Linked DNA regions of Anolis sagrei. The protein of the gene in region 1 interacts with the protein of each later gene in a pairwise test. Links are inferred from orthologs where the notes say so. Each region holds a gene or a part of one and is shown in the gene's direction. Other genes may lie near its edges.

Region 1 (7,110 bases):
TAAACATGAGCCAACAATGTGATGTGGCGGCAAAAAAAGCCAATGGGATTTTGGCCTGCATCAATAGGAGCAGAGTGTCTAGATCTAGGGAAGTCATGCTACCCCTCTATTCCGCTCTGGTTAGACCACACCTGGAATATTGTGTCCAATTCTGGGCACCACAATTCAAGAGAGATATTGACAAGCTGGAATGTGTCCAGAGGAGGGCGACTAAAATGATCAAGGGTCTGGAGAACAAGCCCTATGAAGAGCGGCTTAAAGAGCTGGGCATGTTTAGCCTGAAGAAGAGAAGGCTGAGAGGGGATATGATAGCCATGTATAAATATGTGAGAGGAAGCCACAGGGAGGAGGGAGCAAGCTTGTTTTCTGCTTCCCTGGAGACTAGGACGTGGAACAATGGCTTCAAACTACAAGAGAGGAGATTCCATCTGAACATGAGGAAGAACTTCCTGACTGTGAGAGCCGTTCAGCAGTGGAACTCTCTGCCCCGGAGTGTGGTGGAGGCTCCTTCTTTGGAAGCTTTTAAACAGAGGCTGGATGGCCATCTGTCAGGGGTGATTTAAATGCAATATTCCGGCTTCTTGGCAGAATGGGGTTGGACTGGATGGCCCAGGAGGTCTCTTCCAACTCTTTGATTCTATGATTCTCTGATTCTATTGCTGGGCCAAGCCTCATGTAAGCCCCCCAAGTCTCCTTTGGTAGATGGTGGCGGGCTATAAATAAAGTTTATTGTTATTATTATTTTACTGACACAAAACCACAGTACGGTCACAGCAAATGAGATCTATATGCTGGATTATATATGCTGGATTATCTGATCTCACACAATAATAATAATAATAATAATAATAATAATAATAATAATAATAACAATAATAATAATAATGTGAGAGCTGTTCAGCAGTGGAACTCTCTGCCCCGGATTATGGTGGAGGCTCCTTCTTTGGAGGATTTGAAACAGAGGCTAGATGGCTATCTGTCAGGAGTGCTTTGAATGGGATTTTCCTGCTTCTTGGAAGAATGGGGTTGGACTGGATGGCCCATGAGGTCTCCTCCAACTCTAGGATCCAGAGAGATGGTCAGCAATGTGAGAGCTGTTCAGCAATGGAACTCTCTGCCCCAGAGTGTGGTGGAGGCTCCTTCTTTGGAGGCTTCTAAACAGAGGCTGGATTGCCATCTGTTGGGGGTGCTTTAAATGGGATTTTCCTGTTTCTTATAGAATCATAAGAATCCTAGAGTTGGACGAGACCTCCTGGGCCATCCAGTCCAACCTCATTCTGCCAAGAAGCAGGAAAATTGCATTCAAAGCACCCCTGACAGATGGCCATCCAGCCTCTGTTTAAAAGCTTCCAAAGAAGGAGCCACCACCACACTCCAGGGCAGAGAGTTCCACTGCTGAACGGCTCTCACAGTCAGGAAGTTCTTCCTAATGTTCAGGTGGAATCTCCTTTCTTGTAGTTTGAAGCCATTGTTCCATTGCATCCTAGTCTCCAGGGCAGCAGAAAACAAGCTTGCTATCTCTTCCCTGTGGCTTCCTCTCACTTATTTATACATGGCTATCAAATCTCCTCTCATCCTTCTCTTCTTCAGGCAAAACATGCCCAGCTCTGTAAGCCGCTCCTCAAAGGGCTTGTTCTCCAGACCCTTGATCAGTTGAGTCGCCCCCTTCTGAACACATTCCAGCTTGTCAATATCTCTTGGCAGAATAGGGTTGGACTGGATGGCCCATGAGGTCTCTTCCAAATCTAGGATTCTATGTGAGAGCTGTTCAGCAGTGGAACTCTCTGCCCTGGAGTGTGGTGGAGGCTCCTTCTTTGCTTTTCAACAGAGGCTGGATGGCCATCTGTCGGGATGCTTTGAATGGGATTTTCTGCTTATTGACAGAATAGGGTTGGACTGGATGCCCCATGAGGTCTCTTCCAATTCTAGGATTCTATGTGAGAGCTGTTCAGCAGTGGAATTCTCTGCCCAGGAGTGTAGTGAAGGCTCCTTCTTTGAAGGCTTTTCAACAGAGTTTGGATGGCCATCTGTTGAAGGTGGTTTGAATGGGATTTTTGGGTTTTTTTGGCAGAATGGGGCTGGACCGGATGGTCCATGAGGTCTTATCCAACTCTAGGATTCTACGTGAGAGCTGTTCAGCAGTGGAACACTCTGCCCCGGAGTGTGGTGGGGGCTCCTTCTTTGGAGGCTTTTAAACAGAGGTTGGATGGCCATCTTTTGGGGGTGCTTTGAATGAGATTTTCCTGATTCTTGGCAGAATGGGGTTGGACTGGATGGTAGTTGTTAGAAGCAGCCAAGCTTTGAAGCTGCGAGGCCATTCAATACTAATCAAGGTGGCCAATTGCAACATTCATACTTGCCTCTTCCAGCTCTAGAATTCTATGAATCTATGACTCTAGGTCTGTGGTTCTCTTTCATAGCAGCTTTGGAGGCTTTTAAACAGAGGTTGGATGGCCATCTGTCGGGGTGTTTTGAGTGGAATTTTCCTGCTTTTTGGCAGAATGGGGTTGGAAAGGATGGTAGATTCAGCAGGCTTTGAAGCTGCAAGAACATTCAATACCAATCAAGGTGGCCAATTGCAACATTCACACTTGCCTCAACCATCTTTAGAATTTTATAATTTTTAGAACTTGCTAACTGTGAAAGCTGTTCAGCAGTGGAACTCTCTGCTCCGAAGTGTGATGGAGGCTTTTAAACAGAGGCTGGATGGCCATCTGTCAGGGTGCTTTGAATAGGATTTTTGTTCTAATTGGCAGAATGGGGTTGGACTGGATGGCCCACGAAGTCTCTTCCAACTCTAGGATTCTATGTGAGAGCTATTCAGCAGTGGAACTCTCTGCCCCGGAGTGTGGTGGAGGCTTTTCAACAGAGGCTGGATGGGCATCTGTTGGGGGTGCTTTGAATGGGATTTTTGTTTTAATTGGCAGAATGGGTTTGGACTGGATGGCCCATGAATTCTCTTCCAACTCTAGGATTCTATGTGAGAGCTGTTCAGCAGTGGAACTCTCCTCCCCGGCGTGTGGTGGAGGCTCCTTGTTTGAAGGCTTTTCAACAGAGGATGGATGACCATATGTTGGGGGTGCTTTGAATGGGATTTTTGTTCTAATTGGCAGAATGGGGTTGGACTGGATGGCCCATGAGGTCTCTTCCAACTCTAGGATGGATGACCATCTATTGAGGGTGCTTTGAATGGGATTTTCCTGCTTCATGGCAGAATGTTCTATGTGAGAGCTGTTCAGCAGTGGAACTCTCTGCCCCTGAGTGTGGTGGAGGCTTTGAAACAGAGGCTGGGTGGCCATCTGTTGGGCAGAATGGGTTCTATGTGAGAGCTGTTCAGCAGTGGAACTCTCTGCCCCTGAGTGCGGTGGAGGCTTTGAAACAGAGGCTGGGTGGCCATCTGTCGGGCAGAATGGGTTCTATGTGAGAGCTGTTCAGCAGTGGAACTCTCTGCCCTGGAGTGTGGTGGAGGCTCCTTCTTTGAAGGCTTTTCAACAGAGTTTGGATGGCCATCTGTTGAGGGTGCTTTGAATTGGATTTTTTGTTCTAATTGGCAGAATGGGGTTGGACTGGATGGCCCACGAGGTCTCTTCCAACTCTAGGATGGATGACCATCTGTTGGGGGTGCTTTGAATGGGATTTTCCTGCTTCTTGGCAGAATAGGGTTGGACTGGATGGCCCATGAGGTCTCTTCCAACTCTAGGATTCTATGTGAGAGCCGTTCAGCAGTGGAACTCTCTGCCCCGGTGTGTCGTGGAGCCTCTTTCTTTGAAGGCTTTTCAACAGAGGATGGATGGGGGTGCTGTTGGGGGTGCTTTGAACGGGAGTTTCCTGCTTCTTGGCAGAATGGTGTTGGAGTGGATGGTAGCTGTTAGAAGCAGCCAGGCTTCGAAGCTGCAAGACCATTCAATACTAATTGCAACATTCACCTTTGCCTCAACCAACTCTAGCATTCTATGAATCCGACTCTAGGTCTGTGGTTCTCTTCCACAGCAGTAAAGGGGGTGTGGCTTAACGCGGGCAGAGAGGGGCGTGGCGAGAGGAGTCCCCGCCCACTTTGTTGGGTATAAATAGGAGCGGAGTGCGGCGCTCTTCCGCAGAAGGTTGTCTCTTCCTCTGCTGCTCCTTCTCCTTCTCCTCTCTGAGGCAAACTCGGGCAAGACGATGAGCTCGTTCGGCTACGAGACGTACTTCCCGGCCTACAAGCGCCGCTTCGCCGACGGCGGGGTGTCCTCCTCGTCGTCGTCGCGGGTGCGGGGCTTGGGCGCAGGGCTGGGCTACGGGGCGTCCTCCCGCTCGACCTACTCGAGCCTGTCCGCGCCGCTGTCGTCGGTGTCGGTGCGGCGGAGCTACGCGGCGTCGTCGTCGGCCTCGTCGTCGTTCTCGGCGGCGCTGGCGGCGGAGAGCCTGGACCTGACGCAGGTGGCGGCGCTGAGCAACGACCTGAAGGCCATCCGGAGCCAGGAGAAGGCGCAGCTGCAGGACCTGAACGACCGCTTCGCCTGCTTCATCGAGCGCGTCCACGAGCTGGAGCAGCAGAACAAGGCGCTGGAGGCGGAGCTGCTGGGCTTGCGGCAGAGGCACGCCGAGCCCTCCCGCTTCCGCGCCCTCTACGAGCAGGAGATCCGCGAGCTGCGCCTCGCCGCCGAGGAGGCCGGCCACGAGCGAGCCGCGCTGCAAGGGGAGCGCGAAGGCTTGGAGGAGACGCTGCGGGCGCTGGCCGGGCGCGTCGAGGAGGAGGCCGCCGCCCGAGAGGAAGCCGAAGCCCGCCTCTTGGAAGCCCGCAAGGCCGCCGACGAAGCCGCGCTGGGCCGCGCCGAGCTGGAGAAGCGCGTCGACTCGCTCCTCGACGAGCTGGCCTTCCTCAAGAAGGTGCACGAGGAGGAGCTGGCCGAGCTGCAAGCCCAGGTGGCCCAGCAAGGCGCCCAGCTCTCCGCCGAGGCCGACCTGGGCGCCAGCGCCAAGCCCGACCTCTCCGCCGCCCTCCGCGACATCCGCGCCCAGTACGAGCGCCTCGCCGCCCGCAACATGCAGAACGCCGAGGAGTGGTTCCGCAGCCGCTTCTCCGTCCTCTCCGAGAGCGCCGCCAAGAACACCGACGCCGCCCGCGCCGCCAAGGACGAGGTGGCCGAGAGCCGCCGCCTCCTCAAGGCCAAGACCCTCGAGATCGAGGCCACGCGCGGAGCCAACGAGGCCCTCGAGAAGCAGCTCCAGGAGCTCGAGGAGAAGCACAACGCAGACCTCGCCGCCCTCCAGGTGGGCACCAACGGGGGGGGGGGGGCGGATACCGGGGGAGGGGGGAGGTTGCCGCGGATACGGGGGAAGGTATCTAGATCAGGAGCTCGCACATCACCTCCCTCCAGGTGAGAACAAAGGGGGACCCGCAGATACCGGGGGAGAGATTGCCGCGGATATGGGGGAGGGTATCTAGATATGGGGGAGGGTATCTAGATACAGGGATACAGGGGAGGGTATCTAGATCAGGAGTTAGAGGAGAAACACATCGCCGCCCTCCAGGTAGGCACAAAGGGGGACCCGCGGATACCGGGGAAGGGTATCTAGATACAGGGATATGGGAGAGGGTATCTAGATCAGGACCTCGAGGAGAAGCACAATGCCGACCTCCAGGTGGGCACCAAGGGGGACCCACATACAGGGGGAGGGTAACTAGATCAGGAGTTAGAGGAGAAGCACATCACCGCCCTCCAGGTGGGCGCCAAGGGGGACCCGCAGATACCAGGGGAGGGGGAAGGTTGCTGCGGATATGGGGGAGGGTATCTAAATCAGGAGCTCGAAGAGAAGCACAATGCCGACCTCGCCGACCTCCAGGTGGGCACCAACCGGTGGGCCCGCGAATACCGGGGGAGAGGAGAAGGAAGGTTGCTGCGGATATGGGGGAGGGTATCTAGATCAGGACTTAGAGGAGAAGCACATCACCGCCCTCCAGGTGGGAACAAAGGGGGACCCACGGATACTGGGGGAGGGGGAAGGTTGCCACAGGTAAGGGGGAGGGTATCTAGATCAGGAGCTCAAGGAGAAGCACAATGCCGATCTCGAAGTGGGCACCAAGGGGGACCCGCGGATACGGGGGAGAGGGGAAGGAAGATTGCTGCGGATACGGGGGAGGGTATCTAGTTCAGGAGCTTGAGGAGAAGCATAATGCTGGCTTCGCTGCCCTCCAGGTGGGCACCAAGGGGGCCCGCGGATACCAGGGGAGAGGGGAAGGAAGGTTGCTGCGGATACGGGGGAGGGTATCTAGTTCAGGAGTTAGAGGAGAAGCACATCACCACCCTCCAGTTGGGCACCAAGGGGGCCCGCGGATACCGAGGGGGAGGGGAAGGAAGGTTGCTGCGGATACGTGGGAGGGTATCTAGTTCAGGAGTTAGAGGAGAAGCACATCACCACCCTCCAGGTGGGCACCAAGGGGGCCCGTGGATACCGAGGGGGAGGGGAAGGAAGGTTGCTGCGGATACGTGAGAGGGTATCTAGTTCAGGAGTTAGAGGAGAAGCACATCACCACCCTCCAGGTGGGCACCAAGGGGGCCCGCGGATACCAGGGGAGAGGGGAAGGAAGGTTGCTGCGGATACGGGGGAGGGTATCTAGTTCAGGAGTTAGAGGAGAAGCACATCACCACCCTCCAGGTGGGCACCAAGGGGGCCCGCGGATACCAGGGGAGAGGGGAAGGAAGGTTGCTGCGGATACGGGGGAGGGTATCTAGTTCAGGAGTTAGAGGAGAAGCACATCACCACCCTCCAGTTGGGCACCAAGGGGGCCCGCGGATACCGAGGGGGAGGGGAAGGAAGGTTGCTGCGGATACGTGGGAGGGTATCTAGTTCAGGAGTTAGAGGAGAAGCACATCACCACCCTCCAGGTGGGCACCAAGGGGGCCCGTGGATACCGAGGGGGAGGGGAAGGAAGGTTGCTGCGGATACGTGAGAGGGTATCTAGTTCAGGAGTTAGAGGAGAAGCACATCACCACCCTCCAGGTGGGCACCAAGGGGGCCCGCGGATACCAGGGGAGAGGGGAAGGAAGGTTGCTGCGGATACGGGGGAGGGTATCTAGTTCAGGAGTTAGAGGAGAAGCACATCACCACCCTCCAGGTGGGCACCAA
Region 2 (8,057 bases), on another chromosome or scaffold:
ATCCAGCATGTTAGCTCCCCTGGTGCCACACTTAACATGCTGATAAAACTTAGGGAGCACTGCTTTCAAATCAGCATGGTTAAAATCCCCTGCTATAATGTGCACAGCATCAGGATACTTGTTCTGCTGTTTTTCATCAACATTATACAAAAATCCCAGTGCTGTGTTACTATTAGCATCAGGTGGAATATATACGGAAGTTATCATGACCATATTAAACTCTCATGGGAGATATAAGGGTCTGCATTTGACAGTCAAGTACTTCAGATCTCGAGAGCAATGAGAATCTTTAGTCCTTGAATTACAACACCAGCTTTGGTTCACATAACGACGAACTCTCCCCTCCCTTAGTCTTTACTTCTATCCTGCTGTTAGACTATGTATCCTTCCAGTTCAACAACTGCATCTGGAATGTGTTGGTTGAGCCAGGTTTCTGTAATTAGCAAAACACAGCAGTCCTTGAGAAACTTACTCTTTGCACTCCATAGCCTTAATTCATCCATTTTGTCAACAAGAGATTTTGCATTAGTAAGACAGAAACTTGGAATGGCAGGCTTGTATGGTGAATTTCTCAATCTTGTAAGAGTGCCGGTTCGGCTGGACAACCCCTCTTTCTTCTTCTGTCTCTCCATTTGCCTCCGCCTCCTACCTCCAGCAGGAATAGTAATCCAAGGCTCCCATGGAATCCTAGCAGCCTCCAATGGTATGTTATACAAATATATAAAATTGTCTGTAATAGCTTTTTCACATTCCAGTCCAATTTGTATCAGAACTCGCTGACTGTAGAAACTCCTTGCTTCACAAGAGTGCTCAAAAGAAGCAGGAACACACACAAAAAGACAGGAACACATACAAGACAAGGGGAGCAGCACCCAATTGCAGAAGCCACCAGTGCAGCTATTTTAAAAACAGCTCTCATGGTCAGGATGTTCTGCCTAATGATCAGGTGGAATCTCATTTCCTGACATTTGAACCCATTGCTCCGAGTCCTAGTTTCCAGGACAAAAAACAAGCTTGCTCCCTCTTCCTTATGCCATCCTTAGATGTCATTATCAGTGGTGCAACTGGAGCAAATGTTCTACGTCTCTGTGTCTGCGGGGTTGTAAGCTACTGCTGGTACAACATGTACACACACATATACATCTTGTATCATGATGCTGTGTGATCAAATCCATGCATAATCAAACCTGCAAATGTTGAGGAACAACTCTACTCTCAGGTTTGGCCCCATTTCTTGGCTGCAGAGCAAAACACAGCTGCCATGTTCAATGGCACATTAGTTGGAAAATGGTGAGGAAAGAATGTAAGTAACCACTTTCTCTTTGGTCCAGAGCAGGACTGGCTGTGGTTTACCTTTCCGCATTGGAAATCCAGAACTACAGAAGCAGAGATTGCAAACTGGCACACAGCAAGACCTGTTTTGGGAACTGAACTCGTGCCACCCTAATCTAATCTCAACCCTTATATTTAATTACGGGTATTTACTGCAAACCATGAAAGTGTATACCTTCAGCTACCTTCATGTAATAAACAAATGCAAAGCTACTGGTTGTATTACTCTATCAGTAAAAGAGTGAGCTTTGTATTTATTTATTTCATGTCAAAAGCATTGCATTAATAAACCAGTATAAAACTGATAAAGGGAGCATAAGCAGCTAAATAATTTTAGACCAAAGACAGGCAACTGTGACCGTATTGTATATAGCTAGAAACTTTTCTTCCTCTGTGCATGAGGCAGGGCATTGTGGGCAAGCATACAGATGCTGAGTTGTTTGTTCTGCTCCACAGTTGCACAGGGTGGAGGATTCTTTTAATTAGTATCATTTTGCCAGGTTGTCTTTTGATCTGCCCACTCCGCTTCCGAATCTGTTCAGGGACTTCCAAGTTTCCCATTCTTGGTTTGCCCCTGGAGGCAGACCATCGTGGGAGGCCATCCACTTGGGATTTCCTGGTTTAGCTGCCCAGAGGGATACTCTTGCTATTGCTGGGGGAACATTAAGAGAAGTGGTGGTCCTCATCAGGCCCGTAGCCAGGATTTTGATTCAGGGGGTGCTGAGTTTAATTCAGGGGGTGCTGAGGATCTACCCTAACAAACTTTTTGTATCATTATCCCAATACCCCCATGCATATGGGATATATTGAGCATGGTGATCAGATCATGATATGAATAAACACAACAGTTTAAATAATGTACCAATAAGGCCTTCTTGCGGACCACTCTGAGAATTTGGGGGGGGGGGGGCTGAAGCCCCCTGGCTACATGCCTGGTCCACCATTTTCCTTGACTTGAGTCTATTGGGAGGAGACTGATAGCCACACAGTGAGTGGCTTTAACATTGTTTAGCCTTATTCCTTTAGTGATTGGCAGCAACTTCTCCTTGCACATCGGGGGGTGGGTAATGCTAGCAAGCTTATACAGTCTATCAGCAGATGTAGGTCTAAGACACCCTGTGATTATTCTACATGTTTCATTCAGTGCTATATTCACCTGCAAGTACATGTAGGCAGTTAGGTTGTAAAAAAAGGAAAGGGTGAGAGGTATAACTGAATAAGGAACTGTTCTACCTTTAAGGAGCATGTATCACAGGTAGTTAAAGCGAGGTGAGAGGTAAGTAAGTACAAGTGGGTTAAGTGCTCAACTCAGTATGTGGCAAACTTCGGCCCACCAAGTGTTTTGGATTTGAACTCCCACAATTCCTAACTGCTGTAGTCCATCCCAATAGTCTCTGGTGTGACAATCAGAAGCAGAATCCCAATTTCTCTTCATCCTAGGACATTTTCCCACCTGCGTTACAGAACGGAGGCTGAACTCTGGGAAATGTAATTTAGGGAAGCTGAAGACCGCTCTGGCTGAGAATTCGAAAGGCTCTGCCCTGAACTACATTTCCCAGAAGTCTGTAGTAACAACTCCAATAACTGCCTCCATTCTATAACACTGGTGGTAAAACGTCCCTGGAGATTGCTGGAGGGAAAGGAGTAGAAATATCAGTATGCTACACCCCAGATCTCTATCCTTCACAGCAGTTGTACAACCAAGGGCTTGAATTATTGTGGCAATGATCCCACAAACACAGATTCATAGAGACTGTGGATATTACAGACATATAATTCTAGGTAATTCTAGGACTCCATAACTGAGATAGCGAACTCCAGCTTTTGTATGGCATTACTTACATGCTCTGAATTTCACCATCTAGTTATCTCTGAAGTCCATGCCAAGGGGATGTGCTTCTGACCACAACATACAAATCAACTTTCCTTCCTTCCTTCTGCCCCTCCTTGATACATACCTTCTTTTCATGCTCAGAAACACCTGTCCTTATGATAATATCAGAATCCACATCTTTCTCACAAGCCACTTTACGCCTCCCCCCATGCTCCCCTCCAGCTCTGAGCCAATAGTCCCAAGACTGGTGATTCATAGAGACTGTGCATATTATGGATGTGTTATGACTCCTTAACGGAGATGGTAAATTCTATTCTTTGAATGGTAGTACTCCTTACATGCCCTGAATTTCACCTAGTGGTCTCTGAAGTCCATGCCAAGGTGATGTGCTTCTGCCCACAACATATCTTCCTATTTATGTATCTATCTTCCTATCTATCTGTCTATCTTCCTATTTATCTATGTATCTATCTTCCTATGCATGCATGCATGCATGCATGCATCTATCTATCTATCTATCTATCTATCTATCTATCCTATGTATCTATCTATCTATGTATCTATCTTCCTATCTGCCTTCCTATTTATGTAACTATCTTCCTATCTGTCTACCTTCCTATGTATCTATCTTCCTATGTATCTGTCTTCCTATCTATATTCCTATTTGTTTTCCTATCTATCTGTCTTCCTATCTTCCTATCTACCTTCCTTTCTATTGATCTTAATATCTACCTTCTTATCTATCTGTCTGTCTATCTATCGATCTTCCTATCTATCTATTTATCGGTCTGTCGATCTTCCTTTCTATCTACCTTCCTATCTATCTATCTGTCAATCGATCTTCCTATCTATCTGTGTATCTTCCTATCTACCTTCTTATCTATTTATCTGTCTGTCGATCTTCCTTTCTATCTTCCTATCTACCTTCCTATCTATCTGTCTGTCTATCTATCAATCTTCCTATCTGTATTTTCCTATCTACCTACCTATATACCTTCCTATCTATCTTCATATCTACCTTCCTATCTATCTATCTATCTATATCTCTCTCTATCTATCGATCTTCCTATCTATCTGTGTATCTTCCTATCTACCTTCCTATCTATCGATCCGTCAATCTTCCTTTCTATCTTCCTATCTACCTTCCTTCCTATCTCTCTCTCTATCGATCTTCCTATCTTCCTAACTACCTTACTATCTTCCTATCTACTTTCCTATCTTTCTGTCTATCTATCTTCCTGTATATGTATCTATCCTCCTATCTATCTTCCTATCTATCCATCTATTTTTCCTTCCTTCCTTCCTTCCTTGATCCCAAGCTTCCCTCCACGCTCCAGCCAGGCAAGAGTGACTGCATTGCGTTTTCTGTTAAAACCACTATGGGGCAAACTTGGGCCCAGGCAGGCTGTTAGGAATTGTGGGAGGTGAGGTCCAACCCCCCCCCCCCGAAGTTTGCCCAGGCTTAGCCTAGGCCAGGCATGGGCAAACTTGGGCCCTCCTCCTTCCAGGTGTTTTGGACTTCAACTCCCACCATTCCTAACAGCCTCAGGCCCTTTCCTTTTCCCCCTCAGCCGCTTAAGCGGCTGAGGGGGAAAAGGAAGGGGCCTGAGGCTGTTAGGAATGGTGGGAGTTGGACTCCAAAACACCTGGAAGGAAGGCCCAAGTTTGCCCCTGCCTGGCCTAGGCCTAGCCCTTGGCTTCTAGACTCTGTCTCTGTGAAGGAAGGAGACGCATGACGTCACTCTCTCTCTCTCTCTCCCTGGGAGCCGGAGTCCAGACGGTGGGCGGGGCTTGGCGGCGGGGCGCGCGTGCGCGTTGCCGTGGCCGGGTTCGTGCCCGCGCGCCGCCTCGTCTCCGTCTCCATCACGTCCTCCTCCTCCTCCTCCTCCTCCTCTGTCTCTGTCTCCGCAGTGAGGTCACGGGGAGGCGGCGCGTCGTCAGACAGACGGAGACGGAGAGAGAGAGAGAGAGAGAGAGACGTCGGTCCCTCCGTTCGAGCTCTCTCGCCCAGGACAGGAGGGGGGACAGGTCACTCTGAGGTAAATCTGCGGGGAAAGGGAAGCCAGCCGGGTTTCAACCCCTGCCTGTGTGGATGATATTCTGTGTGTATCCCTGACTCGGAAAGGAGGAGAAAGGTCTCCTGTCTGCTGGGCTTGGCTGGCGGCGTGAAGGGGAGGAGGAGGAGGAGGAGGGATTGCTCCTTCGTGTGTGTGTCTTTTTCGGTGAGGAAGGCCTTGTTCGTGTGTGTATGAGGGGGTACAGCTTATGAATATGCATGAGGAGGGGGTACAGCTTATGAATATTCATGAGGGGTACAGCTTATGACTATTCATGAGGGGAAGAGGAGGCTGGGCTTGAGCCCCTTTCCCACAAGCAAGGGAGGCCAATATAGTGTTATATCTCTTTATTATTATTATATCTTATCATTACTATATTTATTACTATCTCTTATTGTGTCTTATTATTGTCTCTTATTATTACTATTAATATCTCTTATTATTATTATCTCTTATTATTGTTATATCTCTTTATTATTATTATTATAATATCTTATTACTATATTTATTATCTCTTATTATGTGTTATTATTATCTCTTATTATTACTGTCATTATTATCTCTTTATTATTATTATATCTTATTACTATATTTATTATCTCATATTATGTCTTATTATTATCTCTTATTATTACTGTTATTATCTCTTATTATTATCTCTTATCATTGTTATATCTCTTTATAATTATTATATCTTATTACTACTATATTTATTTATGATCTCATATTATTATTATGTCTTATTATTACTGTTGTTATCTCTTATTATTATTATCTCTTATTATTATTGTTATATCTCTTTATTATTATATCTTATTACTACTATATTTATTTATTATCTCATATTAATACATCTTATTATTACTGTTATTATCTCTTATTATTATTATCTCTTATTATTGTTATATCTCTTTATTATTATATCTTATTATTACTATATTTATTACTATCTCATTATGTCTTATTATTGTCTCTTCTATTACTATTAATATCTCTTATCTCTTATTCTTATTGCCATTATTATATTTATATATCTCTATCATGCTTTCTATTATCTCTTATTATTATTTCTTATTATCTCTTATTTATTACTTTTATTCTATTATTATTACTATTATTATTATTATTATTATATCTTTTTTATTATATCTTATTATTGCTATATTTATTATTATCTCTTATTGTGTCTTATTATTGTCTCTTATTACTATTAATATCTCTTATCTATTATCTCTTATTATTATTTATTATTATCTCTTATTATTTCTTACTTTTATTCTATTATTATTATATCTCTTTTTTATTATATCTTATTACTACATTTATTTATTATCTCTTATTATTTCTTTTATTCTTTTTATTCTGATTTCTTCTTATCTCTTCTTATCTCTTCTTATTATTATTACCATTATTATATTTATATATCTCTATCCCGCTTTCTATTATCTTTTATTATAATTTCTCTTATTATAATTTCTTTTATTTTCTCTTATTATTTAGTCTTACCTTTTATTACTATTCTCTTCTTATGTCTTATTCTTACATAGTTTTATTCTTGTTATTTCTTATTATTATATCTTATAATCTCTTATTCTTATTATCTATTAATATTATTATGACCATCATTATATTTATGTCTCTATCCCACTTTCTATATTATTATTTCTTACTATTCTTTTATTATAATTTATTATTATCTCTTTTATTCTCTTATTGTGTCTTATTCTTATCTTATTATTATATCTTATTATCTCTTATTCTTATGACCACTATTATTTATTTATATTTATATCTCTCTATCCCGCTTTCTATTATATCTGATTAGTATTATTATTTCTTACTATTGTCTTATTATAATTTCTTATTATATCTTATTATCTCTTATTCTTATGACCATTATTATATTTATATGTCTCTATCCCGCTTTCTATTATCTCTTATTATTATTATCTCTTATTATTTCTTACTATTATTCTCTTATGATTATAATTTCTTCTTACTTATCATTATTATTATTATCTTTTATTATTTCTTCCTATTACCTTATTATAATTTCTTCTTCTTACCTCTTATTATTATCTTTCCTTATTATTATGACCTTTATTATATTTATGTGTCTCTATCCCGCTTTTATCTCGATTGAGATTGGAAGGCGAGAGGAGGGGGGAAGGCAGGAAAGAGGGGATTGCGCCTTTAAAGCCCCCCTCCCCTTTAAAATCCTGGGGGGGGGGGTCGTTGCGTTGGAGGAAGCGTCTTTAAAGACCCCCCCCCCCCCTCCATCCAAGAAGATTGCTTGGATTGAATAGGAAGGCAAAGAGGGTTGTTTCTTAGGTCAGAAAGGAGAGAAAGGCTCCCCTTTAAAGCTTTAAAGGCCTTCCTCTCTCATGGGAGAGGGTCTCTTGGGTGGGACTGCGCCTTTAAAAACCCCCCTCCCTTCCCTCTTCTTCTTCCATCCAGGGTTTGGGTCGGAGGGCGCTTTTCAACCCACCCACCACCCCTTTATTTCCTCCTCCTTGTTCTGCTCTCCTCCTTCCTTCCTCCCTTCCTCCCTCCCTTGGCCTCCCTTGTGTCTGCTGCTGCTGCCTCTGCTAGACTTAACCTTCCTCACCTCCCTTTGGGGAGGGAGGAGCGTCTGTAGCACAGCAGGCCCGTCTGAGACGGCGGCGGCGGGGAGGAAGGGAAGGGAAGGGAAGGAGTTGAGTTCAGGGCAAAGAAGGGAAATTCCGGGGGAGGGAGGGGGGAGGAAGGAGGCCGCCGCCGGGCTCTGGCTTCTAGGGTTTCACTTCCCAAAAAAAGCCAAACACTCAGCCATTTGAAAGAGAGGCAGAGGAGCT

The links.
Region 2: the proteins of NEFL (region 1) and SKIL interact in binary tests that used the Homo sapiens proteins (3 or more experiments, as listed by UniProt). The link is inferred for Anolis sagrei from reciprocal best matches to the Homo sapiens genes NEFL and SKIL.

Annotation. Positions count from the first base shown.
Region 1 is NC_090027.1:5,852,681-5,859,790, reverse strand, and holds the start of NEFL (neurofilament light polypeptide), read left to right. Parts: upstream 1-4,086; 5' UTR 4,087-4,161; coding exon 4,162-5,253; intron 5,254-7,110. UniProt on the Homo sapiens protein: Neurofilaments usually contain three intermediate filament proteins: NEFL, NEFM, and NEFH which are involved in the maintenance of neuronal caliber.
Region 2 is NC_090023.1:251,988,609-251,996,665, forward strand, and holds the start of SKIL (ski-like protein), read left to right. Parts: upstream 1-4,986; 5' UTR 4,987-5,205; intron 5,206-8,057. UniProt on the Homo sapiens protein: May have regulatory role in cell division or differentiation in response to extracellular signals.